Linked DNA regions of Mytilus edulis. The protein of the gene in region 1 interacts with the protein of each later gene in a pairwise test. Links are inferred from orthologs where the notes say so. Each region holds a gene or a part of one and is shown in the gene's direction. Other genes may lie near its edges. The genes, in order: ubiquitin-conjugating enzyme E2 N-like, RING finger protein 11-like, E3 ubiquitin-protein ligase AMFR-like and E3 ubiquitin-protein ligase RNF103-like.

The links.
Region 2: the proteins of ubiquitin-conjugating enzyme E2 N-like (region 1) and RING finger protein 11-like interact in binary tests that used the Homo sapiens proteins (3 or more experiments, as listed by UniProt). The link is inferred for Mytilus edulis from reciprocal best matches to the Homo sapiens genes UBE2N and RNF11.
Region 3: the proteins of ubiquitin-conjugating enzyme E2 N-like (region 1) and E3 ubiquitin-protein ligase AMFR-like interact in a two-hybrid assay, tested with the Homo sapiens proteins (2 studies listed by BioGRID and IntAct). The link is inferred for Mytilus edulis from reciprocal best matches to the Homo sapiens genes UBE2N and AMFR.
Region 4: the proteins of ubiquitin-conjugating enzyme E2 N-like (region 1) and E3 ubiquitin-protein ligase RNF103-like interact in a two-hybrid assay, tested with the Homo sapiens proteins (3 studies listed by BioGRID and IntAct). The link is inferred for Mytilus edulis from reciprocal best matches to the Homo sapiens genes UBE2N and RNF103.

Annotation. Positions count from the first base shown.
Region 1 is NC_092344.1:52,090,699-52,098,104, forward strand, and holds the start of ubiquitin-conjugating enzyme E2 N-like, read left to right. Parts: upstream 1-4,390; 5' UTR 4,391-4,497; coding exon 4,498-4,539; intron 4,540-7,406. UniProt on the Homo sapiens protein: The UBE2V1-UBE2N and UBE2V2-UBE2N heterodimers catalyze the synthesis of non-canonical 'Lys-63'-linked polyubiquitin chains. This type of polyubiquitination does not lead to protein degradation by the proteasome.
Region 2 is NC_092344.1:15,816,032-15,823,314, forward strand, and holds the start of RING finger protein 11-like, read left to right. Parts: upstream 1-4,258; 5' UTR 4,259-4,279; coding exon 4,280-4,399; intron 4,400-5,989; coding exon 5,990-6,141; intron 6,142-7,283. Other genes in the region: uncharacterized protein, read right to left, coding at 438-526, 1,171-1,305, 3,660-3,685. UniProt on the Homo sapiens protein: Essential component of a ubiquitin-editing protein complex, comprising also TNFAIP3, ITCH and TAX1BP1, that ensures the transient nature of inflammatory signaling pathways. Promotes the association of TNFAIP3 to RIPK1 after TNF stimulation.
Region 3 is NC_092348.1:64,431,231-64,438,760, forward strand, and holds the start of E3 ubiquitin-protein ligase AMFR-like, read left to right. Parts: upstream 1-4,524; 5' UTR 4,525-4,752; coding exon 4,753-5,076; intron 5,077-5,982; coding exon 5,983-6,075; intron 6,076-7,530. Other genes in the region: epimerase family protein SDR39U1-like, read right to left, coding at 675-781, 4,224-4,239. UniProt on the Homo sapiens protein: E3 ubiquitin-protein ligase that mediates the polyubiquitination of lysine and cysteine residues on target proteins, such as CD3D, CYP3A4, CFTR, INSIG1, SOAT2/ACAT2 and APOB for proteasomal degradation.
Region 4 is NC_092347.1:26,685,353-26,692,344, forward strand, and holds the start of E3 ubiquitin-protein ligase RNF103-like, read left to right. Parts: upstream 1-3,979; 5' UTR 3,980-4,235; coding exon 4,236-4,461; intron 4,462-5,464; coding exon 5,465-5,714; intron 5,715-6,992. UniProt on the Homo sapiens protein: Acts as an E2-dependent E3 ubiquitin-protein ligase, probably involved in the ER-associated protein degradation pathway.

The DNA of each region.
Region 1 (7,406 bases):
TTATGTCTTTAAGAGAAAGGTATATACCTACATATTACATAAAAAATCCTTCCCAATTGAAATTTATTGGTCTATTATCACACTGTAACGTGCCAGTGCTAACAAAAGTGTGCATGTTTCTAAGACATATTGAAAAAATATTTTCATAATTCATAGCATGTTACAATAATTTCTAACCACGTTGCAATTAAGAATTTTGCAAACAAATCAACCAAATATATTTCAGTTTTATTGTATGATATCAATTATTAATCTATTGTGTGACTTTCTTGTAAATGTATAAGTATGTATGTAATTTTTAATGTATAATTGTTATCCTCTTGTAGCACCATACGTGTGCCTAAGTTGTAATAAATTGTCTTGTCTTGTCTACAATTAAATAATAAATGTGTACCTTGCCTTCTCTATGCGGATGACCTGGTGTTATTTTCAGATAATAAAAAGGGTTTACAAACCCAACTTATTTTTTATACCAATATTGTAGTGACTGGTGTCTTGAAATAAACACAAAGAAAACACAAATTATAATCTTTAATAAAAATGGGAGACTACTGTCAGATGAATTTAATATAGGTGCAAACAGAATAGAGTGTTTGAAATTCTATAAATACTTAAGGATTAGTTCTTACTAATACTGGAAAATTTAATGCAGCTAGAAAAAAACCTATATGATAAAGAACTAAAGGCTTCTTTTAAATTTTACAAAAACATTAAGTCATTTTCTCCATCTATTAAGACTTTACTTCATATATTTGATCACACCATCAAACCAATGGCTGTGAAATATGGGGTATGTTAAATTTGACTCCAAAAAGAAGAACCATGCATCTTTTTGAAATCTTCAAAGATTGGGAACCTGATAAATTAAATCTTAAATTTTGCAAGTATGTTCTTGGTGTCTCCAAAAATTGTACAAATATTGGAGTTATATCAGAGCTAGGTAGATTTCCTTTGTATATTAACATAGTAATTTAAATGTTTATGTATTGGCACCACCTTGAAAACTCGCCCACTGATCTCTTAAGTGATGCTTATATTGAAAGTTCCTCTGATAAAGCTGTGGCTAATCAATCGTGGTATGCAAACATAAAGTTTTTTAGTGAAAAACTTGGTTTAAATTTAGCACTTTGTAAAAAACTCAGTAAAAATAAATTCAAAATTTTACTTACAAAATGTATCAAAACGGATTTTTTAACATATTGGAGCCATCAAAAAGACTTTTAAAAAAAAGATGATCACAGTAAATTGAGCAACTACTTTAAATTTAGACATAATTTCACTTTTGAAGATTACTTCAAAATTAAGAACAGAGATAAGAGAGTTATACTAACTAGATTTAGAATAAGCAATCATTGTCTCCGCATAACGAAAAATTGATGAACATGGAAAAAATATTAACACTGCCAAGATCGGAGAGAACATGCCAGTTTTGTTCAATGAACTCGGTTGAAGACCCTTTATAATAAGGAAAGAAAAGGCTTTTTATTTTTACTTTATGTGATTACATGCTTGTTATGAGCCCTATGATTAGGAAATAAAATATCTTTATCTTATCTTTATACGACCGCAAAAAAAATATTTTGCGATCGTATATTGGTATCATGTCGTCGTCGTCCGAAGACATTTGGTTTTCGCACAATAACTTTAGTAGAAGTAAAAAGATATATATGAATTTTAACACAAGGGTTATGACCATAAAAAAAAAGTTGGGATTGATTTGGGGAGTTTTGTCCCAACAGTTTAGGAATAAGGGCCCCGAAAAGGGCACAAATAAGCATTTTTCTTGGTTTATAACTTTAGTATACTAGTAAGTAAATAGAAATATATGAAATTTAAACACAAGGTTGATGACCACAAAAGGAAGTTTAGGATTGTTTTTGGAGTTTTGGTCCCAATAGTGTAGGAATAAGGGACCAAAAGGGTCCAAAAGTAAACTTAGTTTGATTTCATCAAAACTTGAATTATTGGGGTTCTTTGGTGTGTCGAATCTAAACGTGTATTTAAATTCTTAATTTTTTGTCGTTTTCAAATTGGTCTCAATTAAGGTTCAAAGGGTCCAAAATTTAACTAAGTTTGATTTTAACAATAATTGAATTCTTGGGGTTCTTTGATATGCTGAATCTGAACATGTACATAGATTTTTTTTATTATGGGCCAAGTTTACAAGTTGGTCTAAATTGGGGTACAAAATTAAACTTTGTTTGATTTCAACAAGGATTTGTATAGTAAATACAAATCCTTGATTTCAACAAAAATGGAATATATGGGGTTCTTTGATATGCTGAATCTAACCATGCATTTCGATTTTTATTATTTGGGCCCCTTTATCAAATTGTTCCACACTGAGGTCTAAAGGGTTCAAAATTGAACTTTATTTGAATTCATCAAAACTTGAATTCTTGGGGTTCTTTGATATTATGCTGAATCTAACCATGTATTTATATTTTATTTATTGGACCATAAAAGGTAAAAGACCAAATTAAAATATTTAAGATTTTAGACCACATTCATTCTGTGTCAGAAATCTATTTTGTGTCAACGTTTTAATCACAACCCAAATGCAGAGCTGCATAAAACTTGAATGGTGTGTCCATACTAGCCCCAACAAGTTCAACCTCTGCGGTCGTATCAAGCTGTGCCCTGCGAAGCATTTTATTATCTAATATAATGAAGCATAACAGAAAAAAAAGTTTCTCTCTAAATATCATAGTTTTCATGATAAATGGCAAAAATGAAAATAAAATATCATAAAACTTGTCATTTATGGGCAATAACTCCTATAAGAGTTTGTCTAGCAGTTTAGTCGTATATATGATAAAGGACAATTGATAGAGCTCATTATTCTGAACTTATTTTTTCATTTCAGATTTTCTCTATTTAATATAACGGTTCAAAAATAATAGATAAAACTTGCTTTTTACTTTTCTACTTTTACCAAGTCAGCCCTGTTGGTTGGTAGGCAGGGTTATCTGACATTTTTTAGCTAGATACTAACCTTAATGATGGTTGTTGCAAAGTTTGGTAAATTTGTCTCAGTAGTTTCAGAGGAGAAGATTTTTGTAAAAGACTACAATAAATTACAAAAAAATATCCAAAATTGACTACAAAGGACAATAACTGCTACAGGGGTCAATTGACCATTTTGGTAATGTTGGCTTATGTGTAGATCTTACTTTGCTGAAAATTTTGCTGTTTGCAGTTTATCTCTATCTATTATAATACTCAAAATAATAACCAAAAAATGTAAAATTTTCTTAAAATTACAAATTCTGAGACAGCAACCCATCAACAGGTAGTCTGATGCGTCTGACAATTTCAGGACAGATACGTCTTGATCTGATGAACATTTTCACCCCCGTTCAGATTTGCTTTAAATGCTTTAGTTTCAACATGGAAGTATTATATTGTCAATATAATACTTCCATGGTTTCAACAACAAATGAAAGATTTTAACGACCTTGACAGGCTATACAGCCCTTGCACGGTCGGCATTAGTTTCATCGGATACATTTTTCAAACTAGATACCCCAAGTTTGGTTTTATTTGGCCCATGCTTTCAGAAAGGAGATTTTTTTTAAAAGTTAGCGGACGACGACGGACGACGGACGCGAAATGATGAGAAAAGCTCACTTGGCACTTTTGGTCCAGGTGAGATCAAAATGCCGGAAGACTATGAAATAGAACCTATTGACATCCAAATCAAGAATAGAAGTGGGTATGGACACTGCTTTCTGTCTCTATATTGCCGGGGTGGGGTGGGGAAGAAAAATAGTTAATATCAAAATCAATAAAAAGCAAATGAAAATTAAGAAATATATGCATTATAGGGATAGAAGAATTCGGTATAATGCAATAATACAAGTACAATTTAGACTCAGCAATAACTCTGATTCGGTAAGTCACCCGTTAAACTCGGGAAAATATTCCATGTTTCAACTTGGTTGATGTTTTTCAGTCATATTGTGCCATTTCGTGGCTGTCAATTTTTTTTATATTTCAGTTGAGGAAGCCGGAGTGCCCGAAGAGAACCACATACCTTCAGTGGTGGATCCAGAACTTTTCCTAAAGGGGGAAAAAGTCATGCTTCAGTGATTCCCTATATAATCAACCAAATGTTTCCCACTACAGGGGATCCAACACCACCACCCCTGGATCCGCCTATGAGTTCTTCGACATGAAAACTGACAATCCGGCCTAGTCAATTACGATTGGAGTCGAGTGCACCTGCCACTTGAATAGTAGGTATTGGGAATTTATGTTATGATAAAATCTTTATTATGCCTAGATAACATTCCGATTTTTACTAGGAGGATTCTGAATCCTACTGAATTCCATTTTTTAATGTGACATATTTAAACAAAGTGAAACAGATACAATAGTGGACGAGTTGCACTGGGGCGAAATACCCATTTTTAACTTCCGGGGAAACGCCATTTTAAAACGTTCTGGTTCTCTCATAAACAGATAAACAAGACTTATTATAAGAAAAAGTAAAGAATGGCCACTGTACCTGGGAATTTACCCCGTCGAATCATAAAGGTGCCAATTATATTTCTCATAAAGTAGTCGGGATTCATAAATGATATCATACTTCAGTGTCTACAACATGATTTGCCATTTTTGAGTGAAGAGTTGAACATCATCATGTACAATTTCTTTGTGAATGGCGAGTTTTGCGGCAATACCTTTTTTTCAGTGATGAAAAGAAATACCATAACATTATTGTTTTAAGTTATTAGTCCAACAAATGATTAAGAATTTGGATGTCAATTCAGGGTTTGGTCCCCTGTTGGTTTCGACATCGGTCTGACATACCGATTTATTGGCGATTACCGGTCTATTTGAAAATCCGGATAAAAGGCCGATATGACTATAAAAGAACTTATTATTATTTGTTATCTTCAACACTAGACCCTATAAGTTGAGAAACTTGAACTGTTGATGTAATTCAACAATCACTTTTAGGTTGTTGCTGAGACTACTATAACATGTGTTATAGTAGTCTCAGGTTGTTGTGTCAAATCCCAACAATCACTTTAAGGTTGTTGTGTCAAATCCGGGTCTGTTCGTCCTGATTCACATTCGCTCAAGTACTTGTTTGCCCAGGTACATTTGTACCTGTTTGTCCAGGGTCCATTCATCTTGATTTGTATTTTTTCTTAATGCTGTCTAGGTGCATAATATTTATTTTGGAAACAAAATATGTTACAGTGGTATCCGGTCGTTCCGGCCCCAAACCGATCCGGCCCCAAGTCAATCCGGCCCACGTCGATCCGGCCCACGTCGATCCGGCCCCAAGTCGATCCGGCCCCATAATAAAATAAGAAATAACTATATTGATCTTGGAGGAATTTGTGACACAGTATAAATGGAATTTGCAAAAAGTGTCCAATGATGGATGACAACAGGTATTAAGTGAAGTATTGGAGTACCAGTTAAAGAACTATTTTAAATCGATACGAAAATGATTGTTATTGTGTCGTTGGTTGTATGGCAGCTTCAACATATTTTAAAATATGAAGTTATTTTCCATGATAACTTTAACTTTAACTCATGGCGATTTCATTTTCTTTTTTTTCATACACAGAATATCTAAATAAATATTTAGTCCACTGGAACCTATTAAATTTAACTCATCATAATGACTTGATTAATCAAATCATTAGTCTATAATTGGTTTGTTTATTCAACAATTGTCTGATGATTGTTAACTAAGGTGATGCCACTTGTAATCACTTAATTAAATCAAATCCTGATTAATTGATCTTCTGGTTAAGGTTGGTGTTTATAATAATTATAAATTGTATTTTTTTCAGGTAACATCACAGGCTTCTATTTACTTGTTTTTTTTTTTTATAATATCAACGAGGTCTTTATAGATTGATATTTTGTTTGGTGTATATAATAATAACCTATAATGGTTTACTTTTATAAACTGTTATTTGGATGGAGAGTTTTCTCATTGGCAATCACACCACATCTTCCTATATCGATATATTTTTCATAAATTTGACAGTATTTTCAATGAATAGTTGTGTGTAGAAAAAACACAAGTTATATGAGTATCCATTATTCTTTATTGCAAGAAAATAACAAAACAATGACACTGAATGCACATTTTCACACTCTAAAATATAATATCAGCACTACTAAAATATAACAATAACATCATACATACTAACTATCTCTGACACTCACATAAATATACATAACCTTTTAATAAATCATTTACACTAACAGTTTTACACTGTCACTTACTTAAAGGAATTGTTTTAATATAATTATACCCAATAATCTTGAAAACTTGAAAAATAAAAACATAATCAACCTAGTTGTTTTATACTCATCTGAAGAATTTTTTTTTTTTTTTTTTTACCGTACACCTTTAACATTATAATAAAAATCATAAACATTTATGAATTACTTTAATATATATCTTTATTTTTATTCCTTATAAATATATTTTTTTATTGGGGCCGGATCGACTTTACATTTGGGCCGGATCGACGTGGGGCCGGATCGACGTGGGACGGATCGACTTGGGCCGGATCGACGTGGGGCCGGATCGACGCGAAAGCGTTACAGTTACAGTTTGTTGAAAAATTCGCCAAATATTTTTATTATGTTATCTTTACATATTTCTGGGTACACAAATATACAAAATGAATCCATGACAAATCGCCCCACACCTAATCGCGCCACTTTTTTTCAAACTTTCCCCACTCTTGTTTACCAACTCGCCCCACTTATGAAAAAGATAAACTCCCATTGCAAATAGGTTTGATAACATGCCCCCCTTATGAAAAGGGTTAAAATCCCGCTGAAATACAGTCTGTCAACTGGCCCCACTCATGACAAATAGATAAACCACTTATAAAAAAGATGCAATCCCATCTTTTTCCCTGCCCACGTCAATACCTTTGAAAACCTAAGTGAAGTGCTATAAAATCAAATTGCTGTTAAAAACTCTGTTTTTGCAATAAAGTTATATATAAATGTTAATCACGCATCAATTGTATGATTATGATACAATTAATAGGTTTCTTTTCAATTGTTATACAAATAACTAAGCTTACAAGTATAAAGTTATTCTCCAATAATGATACGAAAATGTATTTGCAATTATATTTTAAGAATGTTAAAAAAGTTTAATAAATTTCATTTTTTTTGTATTCTGTGTAGATTACAAAAATCAAAATAAGTTTTCATTTAAGTGCGGCTAGTTGGTAGACCTGAAAATTGTATATAGAAGTAGATTTTTCCTTTTTTTCAATAAGTGGGGCGAGTTGACAGGGGAAAAATTAACTGGATTTAACCCTTTTCACAAGTGAGGCGATTTTTTTAAAAAGTGGGGCGAGTTGGTTAACCAGGTTGGGGCGATTTTTTTAATAGTGGGGCGAGTTGGT
Region 2 (7,283 bases), about 36 Mb from region 1:
TGTATTGGAAACCATCTGTCTTTGGACGAAGGTGACGACGACCATTTTTGCAGTTGTATAAAAATCCTAAAAATAAATGCATGCAGTATTTTCTAATTTAAGAATTACTCAACTAAAAAAAACTAATTTAAAACATGCTAATAATATGCTAACTATTCAACTCTTAATTTCAACATTGTAGCATTAAAATGTAATTATAAGGATTGAATGCTCCTTTTTATAATTTCAGACGTTAATTAAAGCATACAATTGATACATTTTTTATATGAAGTGACTCTGTTTCATACAATATTTTCTTCTCAGCTTACACTTTAATACCCCAATGAAATTTTAAAGAGAAGCATTTAATTCTTATTAAAACAACTTACTTATTGTAAATCTTAATTCTTCAGTATTTGGGAAACATACAATTTGCAGAAACTGAGAAAGATATTTACCTATTTGAGGACATCTTTTGACAACATCTAGAACTTTCAAGTCTAATGGAAACATACATTTACTGAAATCTAGAGATTTTAACTGTAGCCTGTAAATAGATCATGTTTCAAAATTATCAGACAAAAATACAAATAACAACAATCAAAACAAGTAAATCTGTGAGTTACTGATCACTTTTGATACCCTGCCCTCTGAAAGAATTAGTTAAAATAAGAAGTTGTTCAGTGATGAATTTGATATGCATCACACAGTAAAGCTGACTCATATTAACCCATAAACCAAATTTCAGAAATCTTGTTGTAATGTAGATATTGAGAAAGATGCGACAAAAAATATTCATGAGACGTCACAGACCGAAAGACTTACAGATGGATGGACAGACTGATAGACAGAGTTTAAAGCAGGGGTATAAATATCAGTTAAGAATTAATAGTGAAAATTGCTGTGGATTTATTATTACTTGTGGGAACAAATTTACATGGATTTCCTGCGTGTACTTTACCCATATATTTAAAATATAAAAAAATCCAAAAAATTTGAATGGAGTATTTTATCAGAAAATTTTCATTTGATATATAGTATTTTGACAAGGACACATTTTGATCATTGGGAAACATTATATTTCCTTAAAAATAAAATTTGATTTAAACATTCAGCTGCTTTTTACAGAGTTATCTCCCTGTAGTGTTATGTACCACGTTAACAAATAATCACTGGTATATTTTGACTTACCATATAGTTGCTTTATCACACAATTGGTTGAATCTCCTACATGTCTGACTAATGTGGAAAATATCTTGCCAAGTCAAATGTTTGCAGATCTCAAATATAACACCTGATGGAAGATACTCAAGCAAGATGTTTGACCTAAATTATAAATTATAGGTTCATGCAGCTTTATAAACATTTAAATAGTTCTATATTTTAGTAATATGTAATGCATTTGCATAAACCACTAGTTTGAATGTTACTATTTTATATTACATATGGTATAGCATTCAGAGGCGGATTTAGGGGCCCGGGCCCCCCCTTTTTGGGAAAAAAATTGGTTGCTTATATAGGGAATCACTGAAGCGTAACTGGAGTGGCCCCCTCTTAGGTCAGTCAGTAGGCCCCCACTGATTAAAATTTCTGGATCCGCCACTGGCATTCTACTGTTTTCATTGGATAATATGACGATCACATGTTTCAAAGGTTGTATTTTTTTAACATATAGTGACGCTATGCTGCTATTAATACATATATTGGTGGTCAATATGAAAATGTTACTAAATTTAGATTTATGACGTCACACATAACAACCACAGAAGAAGCGCCGCATTAGAAAAGAAAATTTGAAAGTTTATCAGGAGATTTCAAGAATTTTATGTTAAATGCAGATGAAAAGAATTTGAGAATGCTAATGCAACAAAATATGAAGTTTAAAAAAAAATGATATTGTCAATAACATTTTTAAATTTTTGCAAAATACAATTAAAAAATACACAGAAAGAACATTGAACGTCATTTTTCTAATACGTTATTTACATATGTAATGTAGAAATCAAGGACTTTCACTCAGTCAATACGCTATATATGGACCTGTAAGATTATATTAACACTCAGACTTCGTGCCCGCTCAATATAATCTGAACATATATATAACGTATTGACCTGGTCAAAAACCATGATAATTGATAAATATGTGACTTGAAATATACAGACCTGGATAAATCGTCATTATATGATCGCATGTGCTTGTTCATCTTTTTAAAAATATATATTTATGTTAATATAGGATAACATGCATTATAACAAGTCTTTGTATTGTTAGTTATTTCTTTCAGACTTTTTCTAATTTGAATATATTAAGCATGTTAAGTAAGTATGTTAAAAATAAAAAATGAGAATGTTAAGTTAAATGGATAAACATTGAAAGCTATTATTATAAAAAAAAAAGCCCTTTAGCATGTTAACCAATCATTTAAAATATTCACAAAAGGATACTTTTTCAACACCACCATCACAGTGTTACTAGCTGCAGTGTTATGTGCATGGAGCAAGGATGCATTTTCAACAATAAATATCATAATGTTTCATATAGTCATCAGCAATGTTTGTTTGAAACTGAGTAACAAAAATAAATTCCTGTTTAATTTACAAATTCCCAAATTGTCACACATTTTGGTAATAGTCTACTTCTGCTTTGAGTTCTTAAGTGAAGTGTAAGAAACTTTGAAAAAAAAATCTGTTCTCTGTAGACAAACTGTTCTTAAATTACAAAAAGCTATACAGAAACAATTCATGGACCTATTCATATACACCTTAATTAATCCTTATTGCTAATCCTGACTGACCCCTGAATTTGTCCCGCTCGAACTATTGAAGTCATACAACAATCACTTTTCCATTGTGGCGTCAGATATTTTGTATTATGACGTCAAAATTTTACGGGAACCTGTGCAATGTCCAGTAATGGCAGACATTAAGGGGGTTCACGGGTCTATATCAACTTTTTTTGTAATATAGGATTTTGCTATTTTTTTCTATGATTAAACTTTATCTTATACCTAATAGAAATATAAAATAAAAATATGGGGTCACCGTTCATTCAAGCTCACAATCTGCTTCCGAAAGAAGCATACATTTTTGTCAATGTCCTTTTTTTCTGTGGAACTAATAGAAGAAATATTGGTAATATCAAAATAAAAAAAGAACTAAATTACAGAAATCGCTTAATTTTTACAATTGTTTAGTTTATGTACAGCCTATTTGAAAACAATAATAAAAAATATAGGTCACCGATGAGTTAAAAAAGATATTTCAATTTAAACGTCAAAAAATTACATTTTTGCACCAAAGGGAGATAATTTGGAGCTTTTTCAATGATATATACATTTTTAAAGTCATCTGTGGCCAAACCAAATCGATTAGTCCGGGTGATTTTTGTACCATATCATAAAGTAATAACTAATAGTGTTATAAATAAAATTTGTTGTTTAATTTTTTGCTGATTTTTTTATACACACGAGCCTCCTTAAATAGAGATAAGGTGTATTGGATTAATTTGAAGCTGGAGGTGGTGCATCTGATGAGTTTTGTGGCAATGCCGCCAACTAATATCACAAAGACAGCACGCAAACAAAACATAAAAATGACAGCATTTTACTATCAACAGACTAAGTATTTCCCAAAAAATTCCAATGTGTAATTACTAAAGACTAAAAAAATAGTGTGTTTACCATTCATATTTGTCTGTTCCTGCCATATTCTACTACCAGCTGATTAAAGATGATTTGCTCAGGACATTATAACATTTATTCAGTTTGTTATTCTGAACAACTTGCAAAATTGGCAAACTGAAAGTAGATCAGAGTACCACAGAAGCTTTCATGCAGCGTAAATGTATTATTCACGAATAACATTTTAATGTTATGATTTCTGCTGTAAGACATGTATTCCAAAAACAAGAAAATATATTTTTTAAACAGTGATACCGATTACTTTTATTGATTTCAGATCATTTTAATAAAATTGCTTTCCCGTGTGCGTTTTATTTTTCTAAAACGAAAGTAGACATATTCATACGCTATGAATATTATTTCTACCCGGAAAAAAATACAGCAATAATCTTCAATATTTTTCCTGTAGTACTTATGTTCGAAATTTCATATTAACTAAAAAATTATTCAAAATAAAATCGCTAATTTCTGTGTCAAAAAAAAATAATCCTTTTTATTTACGTCAACAAATGTGGAAGGATAAAAAAAACTGATGTTGTTTGGTTAATGTTTTGGTGCAAAATTTCGTCAACAATGACCGATTAAATACCCTTCTTTGAATGACAAAATATTTGTGAGAAATGGGCAACTGTTTCAAAACACCAAGTACGGATGATATTACGCTGTTACATGACAATGACAGCCAAGATGGAACTCAGCAGGCAGCTCCTGTTCCAGTTGGACCTCCACCACCATATCAGGTAAATATTTCCTATTTTATGGTCATTATGAGAAGTGTACGCAAATCAACAAACATTTACTTTTAGTTAGGACTATAATTTAATGGATATTTGTGACATTTTGAAAAAATATATATTAGCTGATGTCTGTGTTTGTATAATAAATGTACCCCATGATCAGCTGATCTTGACAACAAAGACAGTCTATGTCCTATTTTTAGAACAGTGACACACAAAAACACATGGAAATGAGTTTCTGAATAATATTAAAACTCATTTGGTTCATAATTAATGTCAGTTTTAAAAATCTTCACAGAGAGTATGTTTATAAAGTTATTTTATATATACAATGTAGGTGATACACAGACTACAAAAAAATACATTGTAAATGAAGGTTATTAATTGTACATTTCACCTTCAATCTAATGATTGTTAGGATGACTAATTTAGGAGATTTGATTCGAGCGTCTTTAGAACAGTGACACACAAAAACACATGGACCTGTAAACAATGAATGTTTCTGCATAATATTAAAATCATTTTGGTTCATAATTAATGTCCATATCTACAAAAAGACATAAACCGCATAGAGAACATACAAAGAAGAGCAGCTAGATTCCTTTGTAAAGACTATAGACGTACGAGTAGTGTCACCTCCATGATGAAGGACCTTGGATGGAAACCTCTTGTGGAACGAAGAGGAGAACAATGACTGGTACTACTGTATAAAATAGTGAACGACCTGGTAGCCATCCCCACTGAACATCATATAGAATTTAATACTAGACCATCCAGAATTTCTAACGTCAAACAAATAAAACTTTTATCAGCAAATACTGACATTTATAAACATTCTTTTTTTCCACAAACTATCATTGATTGGAACTTACTACCAAATGCTGCCGTGAACTGTAAAACTGTGGAAAGTTTTAAGGCAGTTATATCGCATGACTAGATACATCAGTGGTGCACACACATTTCCTGGATAAGTTTTACTCAGTATTTTGAGTTCATTTCCAGTATTATACAGATACAGATACAGACAATGTCAGTTTTAAAATCTTCACAGAGAGTATGTTTATAAAGTTAGTTTTATATAAACGTGATACAAAGACTACAAAATTTAAAATATACATTGTAAATGAAGGTTATTGTACATTTCAACTTCAATCTAATGATTGTTAGGATGACTAATTTAGGAGTTTCGATTCGAGATTCGAGCGTCACTGGTGAGTCTTTTGTAGACGAAACGTGTGTCTGGCTTTTATACAAAATTTCATCCTGATGTCTATGATGAGTTTATTTAGGAGACACAGGATATAATTGTTTCAGATAGATAAGGATTTGTTTCAGGTTCAGGTATCAATGGTTAGTTAAGTATAACTTATCAGGTATCAGGACCTTTATTAAAGTTAAAGAAATCCTAAATGTGTATTGACTATAGAAATTTATTGCCAATAACTGGAGTAAGGAATGTGCAGTTATGTACATGTAAATGTGGCTCTAATAAACCACTATCATGACAATCATGTAGAAGTATATATGCCTTCTTCTTTCATCAACTGCTCTGTCAGCTCTTAACACTCGTAACTTTTGTCTTGGTCATTTCAGGAGCGAGCTCCAGTATATTATCCATCACCCAATGTCAGTCGGCCAGCTAATATGCTTACAGAAGATGAACAGATAAAGATTGCCCAACGATTAGGTCTTATAAGTCATTTACCTACAGGAGTTTATGATGGGTGTAGTAAACGAGGAAAAGAGTAAGTTGATCATATTTATACATGGGTGTCACTATCTTAGTGGTTACCTTGTAACCGTGCTTTGTAAAAAAAGTCATATTTATGTGCCTTATCATTCTTTAATATGGGTATGAATAATTTATATAGTAGAATCTCATCATATGGCACCTGGCTGAAATGGCTTGAGTCGTAAAAAATTAAAAGGTTCAATCTGAGACTACTATAACACATATTGTTTAGTCAGGTACAATGTACCAAAAATGTCTGGCTGGCTCAATGTTTTTCTTTAAACCTGTTTTCCGGAAAAACAGCGATTGAAGGTCAGAGCAATATTGGACTAGCATTTTGCTTAGTATTTTATATTCATAAGTTACAATGTATGTTTCAGATTAAATCTATAGACTAAAAGTTTTAGGATTTGTTTTTTGTAAAAAAAAAACACTAGTGAAAATGTTTATTGTATTATTTGTTCTTATAATAGAGTCGCTTGTTTTGGTCTGCAGAATACAGATTTTAATTTTTAAAATAATCTTTTATAGCTTAAATTATATTTATGTTTTATCAAATTTTGATACTGTCTAGTGTCTACCTAATATGTTTGAAAAGTGTATATTTAAGGATTGATTTTGTGTAACTATAGGTATCAAAAGAGTTCAATTGATTTATATTCCTTTTCTTTACCGTAAATAAACATACATTATTTATATTTCCATGTAAGTAGACAGGTTGAAAAAAGTACACTTGGTTAACTATCTTTAAATCTAGCTTTACTAAGCACTTTAATCATGTGACCTACTTATTATCATAAGGAAGTACTCATATAGTAAACAGGAATTAGTTATGTATTGTTTCATTTACATTATTTTGTCAAAACTTCCTGTTGAGGCCCCATCACATTATAAGTGCTTTAAAAGGTTCTTTTGTAAATCATTTTATATTTTAAAGGCCAACAAAAAAATATTCATATTTTTTACTGTCAGACTCGCATGATGATAAAAAAATATTCATATTTTTTACTGTCACATGATGAAAAAAAATAGCATATTAAATAGGTAATTTATCTTTAAATATTCATATTTTTACTGTCACATGATGAAAAAAAAAATGGATTTTAAAAATAGTTAATTTATATTTCCATAGTCTACTGCGCAGACATTGTGTCC
Region 3 (7,530 bases), on another chromosome or scaffold:
TCATTTATTTTCATTGGTATCAATTGAAGAAGTAATTTCTAGAGTATTTGTGGTGTTAGCATTAGCTCCTTCCAAAGCAACTTAAAAGTTGTATTTCATGGAGTGTTTAAATTGAGGGGGGATAGGACCTTTATATGGACTCCGGGATCGTGTGTTTTTAAGCTCGGGATTTCGGGATTGACCCTTTCGGAATCTGGGAATTCTTTTTTTCGGATTTCGGGATGTTGGGATTTGCTTTATTTAAATTCGGGACCTCGGGATTTCGTTTTTTCAAGTCCGGGATTTCGGGATCAAGACCCCTCCTATCCCCCCTCTAAATTGTGTTTTTTTTCATTCCCCATGAAGTCAATGAAAATTGGTATCCCAGGATTATTAACAAATACACATTAATAGTTAAAACAAAGTACCAGTATATATAGAACTTCTGTTAACATGTGTAAAATTTGCATATACCATTAGAAGATCAGTCATAAAGTGTTGTATAGCTTCATGTTGAAATTTACGGTTACTCATGGTTGCTTTGTCATGTTTATGGTTTGTACTGTTTTGCTCATTGCACAATGGCCATGGAGGATAGATAGAATCAGGCAAATATAAATGTAGAGTAATTAATTAAAATTTGGAACCTTTCATTGAATATATGTTAACCACAACTAATAAAGCTTGTTCTTTACCCAAGTAATAGTATCTGGTCCTGTCTTTCTGGACACTTTTGTTACTTTATAACCCTTCTCTTGTAAAGCTTTAGTTAAATGACGGCCCACAAAACCAGTACCTCCACCTAAAATAGACATATAAATTAAATGTTAATTGTTTTTTACAAACTTGTTAACCATGTTAACAGATGTTGAATTATATCAAAATAAATTTTGTTCAAACTAAATTACGGCAGTTAAATCTTTGTCGTGTCATTGACCTTGTTTTTAAAAATCGTTAAAACATTGAAAAATGGACAATTTTGCAAATTATTTATTTTAAATTAGGCCATTAAGTTTTCTTTATTGAATTGTCTCATATTTTTCAAATGGTTTTCCTACTACAACTGGATATTTGTAGATATATTTTTTGGTCAATGATTCAATTAAGAAGTGTCAATACCTCAGTATAATGGGGGTCTCATTGGGGGGTTCCGATCCCAGATCCCGCTTACTGTTTTGTCAGATTCCAGTTTCCCGCTTACACTATGTACGTAAGCAATTTTCATTTTTTTTTGTCATTTCCCGTTTTCACGACACAATAATTTGACTTTCACGTGTCACGCTTACAAAAAAATGGCAATCCCGCGTCAGGCTTAGACCCCAATGAGACCCATTATAATGACAAAGTTCAGGTGAGATTAAGACCCCTATACATGTACATTGTGTAAATGGCAAATCCCAAACACACTGCTTGATGATGCGCCTGACAATGGCAGAACATACAGATAAGGTAGCAAGTTACATGTGACATCTATCATTGTCTATTATTGGTATCTGTGTAGGATTTCAACCAAAAACAAAGGGACCTGGAATAATGTAATTTTGATCAACACCATTGTGCAATATTGGTTATATATAAAGTTGAATTCTTTGATAAGTTGTTTTAACATCATGCCAGCTAAAAAATTAGACTTCATTGTTTCAGATAGTGTAGATGAGGGTACTAACATTGTGTTACACTCCTGACGAAAAACAATAAAAATTCTTGCCAAATGACGTGAACAGTAATATTTGATGATAAAATGTAAATGATGTACACTTTCTTTTATTCTAAAAAAAACAATCAACAGATTTTGATGAATCACATTAAATTTTATCCAGAAATGACGGTAACAATAATTGCTTGGACATGTTATAGATCTCTGACGAATCATGATAAGGATATTTTGATGAATTATGGTAAAATTTTAATCAATTGGAAGCTAGCCGAAAATGACCATTCCACGCCTGACGATAAATTTAAGGGCATTTCATATTCTCATAGATGAGGGGGGATAGGACCTTTATCAGGACTCCGGGATCGGGTGTTTTTAAGCTCTGGATTTCGGGATTGACCCTTTCGGGATCTGGGAATCCTTTTTTTAGGATTTCGGGATGTCGGGATTTGCTTTAATTAAATTCGGGACCTCGGGATTTCGTTTTTTCAAGTCCGGGATTTCGGGATCAAGACCCCTCCTATCCCCCCTCTCTTATGCAACATATAATTTATAATTGTATAAATAAACCAATTTTTCAAGATGTTTCGGCTTTGGTTTATCTATTTATACAATTATAAAATGTATGTTCCCTATTGCAATTTTAAAAACAAGGATATAATTTATATATAAACAGCTAAAATATCTTGTCCTCTATATTTTTTTATAAAAGTCATTTGGTTGTTTTTGTTAGCTCACCTGGCCTAAAAGGCCAAGTGAGCTTTTCTCATCACTTGGCGTCCGGCGTCGTCCGGCGTCCGTCGTCGTCCGTCGTCGTCGTTAACTTTTACAAAAATCTTCTCCTCTGAAACTACTGGGCCAAATTAAACCAAACTTGGCCACAATCATCATTGGGGTATCTAGTTTAAAAAATGTGTCCGGTGACCCGGCCAACCACCCAAGATGGCCGCCATGGCTAAAAATAGAACATAGGGGTAAAATGCAGTTTTTGGCTTATAACTCAAAAACCAAAGCATTTAGAGCAAATCTGACATGGGGTAGAATTGTTAAACAGGTGAAGATCTATCTGCCCTGAAATTTTCAGATGAATCGGATAACCCGTTGTTGGGTTGCTGCCCCTGAATTAGTAATTTTAAGGAAATTTTGCTGTTTTTGGTTATTATCTTGAATATTATTATAGATAGAGATAAACAGTAAACAGCAATAATGTTCAGCAAAGTAAGATTTACAAATAAGTCAACATGACTGAAATGGTCAGTTGACCCCTTTAGGAGTTATTGCCCTTTATAGTCAATTTTTAACCATTTTTCGTAAATCTTAGTAATATTTTACAAAAATCTTCTCTGAAACTACTGGGCCAAATTAATCCAAACTTGGCCACAATCATCTTTTAGGTTAGTAGTTTGAAAAATGTGTCCGGTGACCCGGCCATCAAACCAAGATGGCCGCCATGGCTAAAAATAGAACATGGGGTAAAATGCAGTTTTTGGCTTATAACTCAAAACCCAAAGCATTTAGAGCAAATCTGACATGGGGGTAAAATTGTTTATCAGTTCAAGATCTATCTGCCCTGAAATTTTCAGATGAATCGGACAACCCGTTGTTGGGTTGCTGGCCCTGAATTAGTAATTTTAAGGAAATTTTGCTCTTTTTGGTTATTATCTTGAATATTATTATAGATAGAGATAAACTATAAACAGCAATAATGTTCACCAAAGTAAGATTTACAAATAAGTCAACATGACTGAAATGGTCAGTTGACCCCTTTAGGAGTTATTGCCCTTTATAGTCAATTTTTAACCATTTTTCGTAAATCTTAGTAATCTTTTACAAAAATCTTCTCCTCTGAAACTACTGGGCCAAATTAATCCAAACTTGGCCACAATCATCTTTTGGGTTAGTAGTTTGAAAAATGTGTCCGGTGACCCGGCCATCCAACCAAGATGGCCGCCATGGCTAAAAATAGAACATGGGGTAAAATGCAGTTTTTGGCTTATAACTCAAAACCCAAAGCATTTAGAGCAAATCTGACATGGAGTAAAATTGTTTATCAGGTCAACATTTATCTGCTCTGCAATTTTTAGATGAATCGGACAACCCGTTGTTGGGTTGCTGACCCTGGATTGTTAGTTTTAAGGAAATTTTGCTGTTTTTGGTCATTATCTTGAATATTATTATTGATAGAGATAAACTGTAAACAACAATAATGTTCAGCAAAGTAAGATTTACAAATAAGTCAACATGACCGAAATGGTCAATTGACCCCCTTAGGAGTTATTGTTCTTTATAGTCAATTTTTAACAATTTTCATAAAATTTGTAAATTTTTACTAACATTTTCCACTGAAACTAATGGGCCAAGTTCATTATAGATAGAGATAATTTTAAGCAGCAAGAATGTTCAGTAAAGTAAGATGTACAAACACATCACCATCACCAAAACACAATTTTGTCATGAATCCATCTGCTTCCTTTAATATTCACATAGACCAAGGTGAGCGACACAGGCTCTTTAGAGCCTCTAGTTCTTCTTTTGATGTATCATTGATACATATTAACCATCTCCCTTATTCTCAAGAATAATGCATCACCTATTAAAGCCCTCATTCTATGTGAATCAATGTATAAGCTGATAACTGCTTCCAGTAGCCGGTGACAGTCAAAACAAAACGTTGCGTAATCACAACTTTATAGCCAATCGAAAATGATAGTTTCGCATGTATAATTTGTTGATTAAAACTTTTAAACTCTTAACATGAAAGATTTTCATAACCGCTTTGAAAATTTAACAATGTAATTTGTTTTTTTGTTAAGGGAGTGATTTTCTACGAAACAGTGGCGATTCATGCAACAGGTGCGCTCGATTTCTTAAGATTTTTATTCTATTATTTTTGGGGAAAACTTTTTCAAACAAAGGGTATCTTCTTTACTTATTTATATTTTATTCGTCGATTTATTGAATTAAAACAAACAAAAATCTCTATTTTGGTATGTTTTATGAAAGAAACGATTACAATGCCGCCATAATACACAAAATTTCAAGTCGAGTGTGACACAATATTTGACAGATCGCCACACAATAATGATTTGTTATCTTTTCTAAAACACAAATAAACCACAATGCCTGTGATACTTCTAGAACGGATACCGCTGCCTAGTCTTCGTACATACACTAGTCTCTCTGTTGTATTGTTGTCATGTGCTGTGTTTTATGCCTATCAATGTGTTCTTGCTTTCCAAACAAACCCACATAATTCTGATCTAAACGGAGCCGGAATCGAACATAATGTTAACATCGGTAATTCAAAAGAAATCAGTGACATATTGAATGATCCAGATGTAGTAAAGGAACCATTACCAAGTGAATTTGACATTCAGCTGCCATATGAGAGTTTTTGGTGGAATGTAGTCTATGTTCTAACTTCAGAAATATGGTGCATTTGGGTAGGTACACTTTGGATCCCTGTCTGTTAACATAGATTCATGGTCGTCATGATTGAGGTTTCACTTTGAAATCCTGTCTGTTCACCCAGATTCATGTTCGTCCTGGTTCAGGTTTCACTTTGAATCCCTGACTCCCTGTCAGTTCACCATGATTCATGTTCGTCCTGATTCACGTTTGGATTTGGGTAGGTTCACTTTGAATCCCTGTCTGTTCCCCCTGATTCATGTTTTGTCCTGATTCACGTTTGCCCTGATTCATATTTGTCTTGATTCATGTTTGCCTTGATTCATGTTTGCCTGAGTACCTGTTCGCCCAGGGTCTATTGTTCCTGATTATTATTTGAACAGAGTTTGGTACAGTTTGTTAAAAAAAAAAATTTCCCTTGATTTGCATAGTAGAATACAATGTATTTATATGCATATATTAGCATAGCATAGAAAAAATAAAAACGTAGCAACCTAAACCTCAACCTAAAACCAGTGAGATCTCTGCAGGTTCTCCTGAAGGGTAAATAAACAGATCCTGCTCCATATAAGGCACCTGTTGTGGTGCATTTTTAAGTACAGACTCAGTGATAAGTAACCAATTTAATTCTCTTTCCATTTGTTACATATAAAAAAATGATAGTCAATGAGACAACTAAGAGGACACAGATATATATATACTCTTTATATGTCACTCACTGTATAGTCTTCAACAATGATCAAAATATTTACGATAACTTCAACTATAAAAGTTTTTAAGACATATGGCATGATGATTTTTTTAATTTCTTATATATACTGTATAAGTATTCTAACTTTTGATTAACTGTGTACATGCATGAATGTGTTTAGGTTCTGATATTTGAATTTATTTTAACATTTCCTATAAGTCGTTGTAAGTGATACATATTTATTTTTCAGACTGTTGTTAACACAGCATATTGCTGTCTTATTCTGCTTGCCAAGTTGATTCAAAAAGCTGTATTTGGAGAGTTAAGAGTTGTAGAAAAGCAGGTAATGTTTACATACATGTATTGTTTTGTATATTTTGACTGATAAGGATTACATAATTAAAATTTCTTATAATAATTGAAGTAAGTCTATTTAAATAGTTGCAAACAAGCAGAAGGATCTGTTATTGTCTGTCTTGTGAATACATAAATGTTGAAGAATTACATGCTTAAATCATGTTTACCATGTTTACATTGTCTTGTACTTTGTACATCTAGGTTCATGCTTGAATCAAACTAATGAATTGTATACATGTATGTTATTTATCATATAAAATGAATTCTTTTGATTTTCTCATTCAAAGATTTAATGTGAAAATCAAAGAATAAAAGTCATGATAATGATTTTAAAGATAAACATGAAAAAATTTGTAAGGGTTCCGCGGAACCCAGTGTCTCGCCTACTTTTGCTGTAAATCGCAGGCTCAACAAAAATGAGGAAAAAAATCAATAAAAATATTCCTCTTGATACTATCTTTTGATTGTAAGAAGCTTCTGTCCAAGTTTGGTAAAAAAAATTCTGTCCAAGTTTGGTAAAAATTTAGGATAGTTAATGAATCTAATAAATGTTTTAAAAACTTTAACTGCAGACTGTATGTAATGTTAACTGGAAGAAAATCTAAGTTCATTTAAAAGTAAAATACAGAAAAAAATGGAGTTATCTTTTTACAAAATTTACTTCTGGATACTATCTTATGATCATAAATAAGCTTCTGTCCAAGTTTGGTACAAACCCAGGATAGTTTAAGAAAGTTATTAAAATTTTAAAAACTTTAACCACAGAGTGAATGTAATGTTTCCCCGCAGAAAAACTAAGTCCATTTAAAAGTAAAATACGGAAAAAATGGATTTGTTTTTTTACAAAATTTACTTCTGGTTCCTATCTTATGATCATAAACAAGCTTCTGTCCAAGTTTGGTACAAACCAAGGATAGTTTAAGAAAGTTATTAAAACTTTAAAAACTTTAACCACAGAGTGAATGTAATGTTTCCCAGCAGAAAAAACTAAGTCCATTTATAAGTTAAATAAGGAAAAAATGGAATTTTATTTTTACAAAATTTACATCTGGATACTATATCTTATGATCATAAACAAGCTTCTGTCCAAGTTTGGTAGAAATCCAGTATAGTATTAGTTTAAGAAAGTTATTAAAATTTCAAAAACTTTAACCACAGAATGAATATTTGTGGACGCCGCTGACGACGACGATGGAATGTAGGATTGCTTAGTCTCGCTTTTTCGACTAAAGTCGAAGGCTCGACAAAAATGATTCAACATATTTAAGTACATAATTTTACTATCAGTGTAAAGGACTATCGAAGTATTTCTAAAGAAGAGTGTTTCTTAAAAGATATTATAATTGTAGATGTAATTAAACATACATGTAGAGAATGATATAAGCATCTGTATTCTGTATCAATATAAATTCTGCCAATGAAGGCACACCTCCAAAGGAGT
Region 4 (6,992 bases), on another chromosome or scaffold:
GTATGTTGTCGTATAATAAATTATATAATATACAAGTGTACCTGGTATAGCAAAGTGTATATAAACTATATCATGTTCAAGTGTACCTGGTATAGCGATATATATAGTATGTTGTCAATTACAAAGGAGTAGGGGCAATAAGGCCCTTATTTGGCCCAAAAATTACTGCAAATTTAAAAGTTTTCATACATATTTTAAAATTACTGAAAAGTATCTCAGGTAGAAGGTATTCAGAAAAACAAAATAATTTTGGACATTAAACAAGTTACCATGGCAACAAATCATGCCTTAATTTGCATATTTTGTAAAATTTTGTGATTTTCGTTGTTTTTCATCAAATTGTTAAGTATATTTTTGATTGGAAAAGTATGTGCGCACCCAAGAAACAACTTTATATTTGGTGAGATTTTGTCAATAGTAATGATAAAGCTTCAGTTAAATTATTTTGTTGTTTCTTGGCTGCGCACGATGTTTCCACAACAGAAATAAAGATAGAAAACTGCATAAATTCTGAATTTTCATCGTTTTTGTGAAAACAGTATATATTATGACGTAATTGTGACGTCATCACATAAGAATCTTAATGTTTTCTTTATATTTCTTGACCCTATGCATTTCTTAAGATTATGTTCCGATTTGAAAAAGTTATCAAACATTTTATTTTCTTGGGCCAAAACCAGGCCTTAATGCCCCTACTCCTTTGAACAAAGGCTCACTACAATTTTTGGGTATCACATGTATCATATTCTCCCAGGTATCCACTTCAGGGTTCACCAGGCATTAGTTCCCTTTCGTTTGTAAAAAACTAACTGAGTTCTCTTAATATTAGGTACAGAATTAGTCTGAACTCTGAAGTCCATTTTGGAAAGGTTTACAACAACAGAAAAGAATAAGGGAAATATAGTTCTATAGTCATTAAAACTATTGGTGATACAATGTATAAACATAGTACATGTATTTACAACATTAATGATATGAATGTAGTATTCAGAATGCATATTTAAATTGTTTCTATCTTACCTTTTCTTTGTACCACTTTGTATAAATTTCTTTAAATCTGTGTTTATGTTTTCTATAAATATTTCCTCCAATGGACTTAAATATCGACTTCCAAAGAAGGATGCCAGATCGAGTCTGTTAATATTTATATTTGATGCCACCAGTACCTTTCATCACTGCAATAATAAACATTTAAAATAAAACATATATTAAACATTGTCAAATTTCAAATTATGAATGTACATGCATTTACAATTTCCTTTAGCAAATAGCCTATATGTCCATCTGATGAGTTAAGCCTTTTTCAACTGATTTTTATAGTTCCTTCTTATGTTGTACTGTTATACCACTGTCCCAGGTTAGGAGAGGGTTAGGATCCCGCTAACATGTTTAACCCCACCAGAATATTTATGTAAGTGCCTGTCCCAAGTCAGGAGCCTGAAATTCAGTGGTTGTCGTTTGTTTATATGTTACATATTTGTTTTTCGTTCATTTTTTTATACAAATAAGGCCGTTAGTTTTCTCGTTTGAATGATTTTACCTTGTCATATCGGGGCCTTTTATAGCTGACTATGCGGTATAGGCTTTGCTCATTGTTGAAGGCCGTATGGTGACCTATAGTTGTTAATGTCTGTGTCATTTTGGTTTCTTGTGGATAGTTGTCTCATTGGCAATGATACCACATCTTCTTTTTTATATGTATCCCCGTACAGAGTAAATATACTGAGTAAGGAGACTAAAATATTCACTGTAATGGCAGCTTTTAATCATTCTTCTTAAAAACTTCATGTACACCAAAAATTTGCCTCTTACAGAAAAATGACTTGAGTGTGTAGGTAACAGTAATATCTTAAGCTATATATCTTGCTTGCTATAGCTACATGTACATGTAACTGAACCATGAAATCATTATAAGCTAAGGTACCACCTTTTTTCGGGAGGAGACAATGAATAGGCACAGATCCAATCAAAAGTAGGAGCAATATACATTGTATAAATATTGTGAAACCGATTTTACAAGTTAGTTATTAAAACATGTTTTCAGGTTAAAGGTGTGCTCGATTTGCCAATTCAATTTCAGTCAATTCAAGGTGAACTGATGGAATCCATATATAAAGTTTTTTAATAATTTGTCAAAATGTAGTTTTATCCTGACCCATACTTTTTAATAACAAAAAGTATGGGTCACCAGATTTTTTTTTTTTTTTCATGATACGGGTTGTACAAAATTGTCAAATTTTTTACAGATTATGCATGGAAAATCCAATTTTGTTTGATAAAAGAAAACTACACCATAGAATTTTAAGATAAGATAAAATGTGAGGAAATAGCCTTTTAACATGCTTTCAGATAAGAAAAGAAAAAGTGGGCCACCGGTCTTGTTTTCTTGTTACATATAAAAATAGGTAAATTCACACTTTCTATTATCAAAATCACTTTATTTGAGTTATCTCCCATATAATCTGAGTTATCTCCATTTATGTGGCAAAGCTGAAAAAATGAGTCAAACACAAATATTGCGTCTTTTAGAAAATACAGTTGTAAATATGATAAAACATATAGTTTCTATAATAAATGGAAGAAAAAAACACTTTTCATGACAATTTTATATATGTTGATACATATATAAAAAGGATATAATTATTTGATTTTGATGTGTAATTTAATGGGGGAGTATACGTACTGCAGAAGGTGTTAAATTAAACTTAGGGGGTCAAATCACAAATTTAAAATTATTTTTTACGCACTCCAACATTCCACTCATTTTCAATTATTTTTGTGTTTTTGTAAATATATATATAGGCCACGCAGCGCAAAACAGTAAATAATCTTCAGATAATGAAGGACTACTGAAAACTTAAAGAAGAAGTCTTCAAGATGTTCCTCTTACCATGCAATTGTAAAAATGTTATTGTATTGTTTAAAAAAAAAATTGACAAATCAAACACCTCCTCAAAATGCTATACACTATATTTTGCAGACTGAAAAGCCAGTCAAGGTCGTTTAACTACCATCATCAACACTATATTCTAAATTTAGATTGGAAACACATAAATTTCTAATCTAATTTCTTAATGTGTGTGCACTGTCCTTCCTTTTGATTGCAATTGTTTATCTACTTAAATATAAAGGTTTAATCCACCTAAAAAAGGGGTCATACCTAACTAATAATCCTTACATATTTCACCTAGCAAGCAAGCTTACCAAAAATATTTCCTTCAACTACCATGACTACACATTTACAAGTCATTTTTCTGTAAGTCTCAGTCACACATTAGGATTTTTTACTGCTTTCCTTGTTTGGACTACTCCTGATTAAAACTTGTCATAAGTGAGATCAAGATCCTGTGATTGGTGGTTATAAATTTATAAAAACATTGATTTAATAACCAAATCGGATATTGTTTAGCAAGCGCTTGTCTAACTCAATCCAATACACCTCATATAGCTACATGTATATGTCCGTAATTACTAGATATCACACAGGTTCCCGAAAAAATATCTAATGCCACAATGGAAAAGTGATTGTTTTATGCGTCAAAAGTTCAAGACGCCGGGTCAGCCGGGATTAGTGATAAGGTGTATTGTGATCAGATTAATTTGTACATTTTGCACACAGTAAAAACGACCCAATATGTCATGTACGTGTCAATAGTAAAGGTTGCCATGTTAGAGTCATGTTATTTACAACAATATTTGTTTTCAGTGTACTATAGGCATGATAGGTGATCATATGTAATAATTTGCTTTTACAACATGCATTTTGTCTTTTTGATTTTGACTATTCAAATTCTTGGTTTGGATAAATGTTTCATCATTTAATACTAACAAGATGGCGAGTTCATCTTACCCTTTAAAGACCTATGTACTACTTCACCTCAAATAAACATGAAATTTTTCAAAAAATAGCTGCCAAACATTTCTAAAGTACAAACAATAAACTGGAAGTTCTGTTGTCTCCGTCAACGTTTTGGTTTTTAGTTTCTCACTGACCTTTGTTTACTTCCGGTTGAATGGCAGCTTTGTAAAGTTGACGAAAGTCTTTCGTCAGATAAAATGGGGGAATTTGCCATTTACCAGACCTTTCTTTTGCATTAAATGATGCATTGTATTGAACCTAAATTGTCTACAAAAACTGTCATTTGATTTTGTTGTCTTTGTAATCAAATTTTCTGGGAAGTTTAATGTAGACGTGTCACTTAATATTTTGACATTTGTTCCCGCCATATATAACAATGTTCATCAAGCTAATATTGTTTCTTGTATACATTGTTATACTTTTTCTGCTGACACGTATACTTGAAACTTTAACATGGATTGAAGTGGGTAATCTGTCACGTCGACTCCTTGATCCAATGACCATGTCTGTCATGAAACTGAAGGCCTTGCTAGACCAAAGAGGGATCGGTTATGAAGGAGCAATAGAGAAACAAGAGCTTGCTGAATTAGTTGAATCATCAGGTTATACAAATAACAATTTGATATTTTAAGATATGAAATGTAATCTTAAATGTTGACAGATTTCTGTATCAAAAAAAGATATATTGAAGAGATGTCACCATGATAACTTCAGATTGATTTCAATTTAATTCTATTCAAACCTAAATATGACAGTTGGAAGTCTGCAAACAAAAAAATCTTTGTATGATCCTACAGTAGTATGTTCATAAAAATGAGATGGTCATGTGATTGCCAATGGGCAACTATTCACCAAAGTTCAATTGACAATGATGTACATTGTACATGCGTAAGTTACATGTACTATCCATCAGCATACATGTATGGCCTTCAACAATTAACCAAAACAAAACTGTATAGTCCGCTAGTTATGGTCCTGACATGACAAAATGAAACAATTCAAACAAACCAAAACAATTTAAGGTTCATTCTCATAAACCATGTAAACAAAACACACATTTTTCAAGATCTTACATTACAATGACAAATGTAATTTGTCCAGTCTTATCTAATTGATTTCCAGAGTGACTATACCATCATTGAGACACATACTAATGTACAAAGTATGTAAATACAGTCCAACTGAAAATATGTGTTATAATTCCTAACCACAGTTTGTGCCAAATACATTTTCAATAACAAGCCTACATTTTGTATATGACAGTGAAAAAATGTATGGCAAAGCTGCTGCCTATTATTTTGGAAGATATATAGTTTATATGCCCTTAGACAGCTGACATATGAAAGCTTCTGATCTTGCAAACTACAAGAGCATTTGTCAATCATGTCATTACAATAACATTTTCTATTAATATTACATAATTTCTAATGTAAAGTTAAAACTATACATTCATAGAATATAAAATGGTCCAGATCTTCTGACACCTGCCTACTGTAGCGGAAAAAATACAATACATGTTTTCAAACTCAAATTTTGTTTGCAAATAGAAAATGCAAAAATGTATTCAAAATTTTTTTAAATGTATATATTTCAATATGATTTCAGGTGCCATTGCTGAAGACACAAAGACAAATAAGGAAGAGGAAATCTCGACAGTTGCTGTTACAAATTTCACAACCGGAAGTCTGTTTGATGAACATGTAGAGGATGCTAAGGATAGCATTTGGTTGGTTTATATCATACCAGATCAAAGCCATGTCAACTACTTAGCAGATACTAGCTGGAATATCATCAAACAAAAAATGTCTGCATTTGGAGTTAATATAGGAGTTTTTGATTGTAGTTTAGACCCAATGTAAGTACAGATAAAAATTAATAAAAAAGTGTATAGGTTACAACCTATAAGTATGATAAAAAGGTACAGTAAGAATGATTCCTACTTAAATTGTACCAAATATATATGTTGTTTTAAAGCAAACTTCTCAAAGTATTGGATGGAAAACTTTTTGACAAAGTCATCCATTTACAAAGAGATGTGTTAGAAACATGCAAGACTTGATATATATGTGCTGTGGATATATCAGAATTTAATCAATTCCCTCCCATGACCATATTAGTTTTATTGTCGAGCCTGCAACTTTTGTTGCAGAAAGCTCGACATAGGGATAGTGATCTGGCGGCGGCGTTAGCTTACTTCCTAAAAGCTTTATATTTTAGAAGGTAGAAGACCTGGATGCTTCATACTTTGTATATGGCTAAGTATTCAGTATAGTGTTGTTAGTGTGTGACAACATATATGATTTTAAAAGTAGCTGTTTCAATCTTAATAACATGATTTTCTGAAAGGAGAATGATTCTAGTTTAGGGTTTTACATGTAAAAAGATAGTTATTTAGTCAGAAAACATAAAATTAGACCTAAATAGCATGTTGGACAGAGGTTATGTTGGACGTAACAGGACATTGAAAAATTGAATATTTTCCTTTTATATGAAGGCCTAGTTAATAAATATATCAATTTTTCTCTGACAGTTCATAAGATCTTCAATTAAAGTATATCATTTTGTTAAATTTTTCTTACTTGTAAGTTGGAAAAATCTTAAAATATGTCGGACAAACGGGGACATTTTTGGATGAGAATTTGTTCCATTTGCATCATTGAAAGTCAAAAACAAAATCAAAACTATGCTGTTTATACTAATATCTACAGCTGGTGTTCCTCAGCAAGAGGTAAAATGGTTCATTATTAAATAAATGGATAAAACAAAACCATAAAAAACTGTAGGACAAACATAGGACAGATTATATTCCCTGTCGGACAAACATAGGACAAAATTCATTAATTTACTGATCCTAATGGGAATTTAAAAATGGGCACCTCTTAAGAAGAGACTAGGAAGAGTCTGAGAACTATATTTTAGTTTATGTGGACTTGTTAGTTGTTAACAAGGTTCTTTTTACTTTTAAAAAGCTGTTACGTCCGACATTAGAAGATTTTGTCCTACGGTTCGTCCAACAGAAAATTAATGGACTCTTGTTACGTCCTAATTTTCAAAATTATGTCAAATTTAGACTGTCAACAGTTTAAAACCTCTTTATTTTTCATTTATATGGTAGTATTTAAGGTTAAGTAAT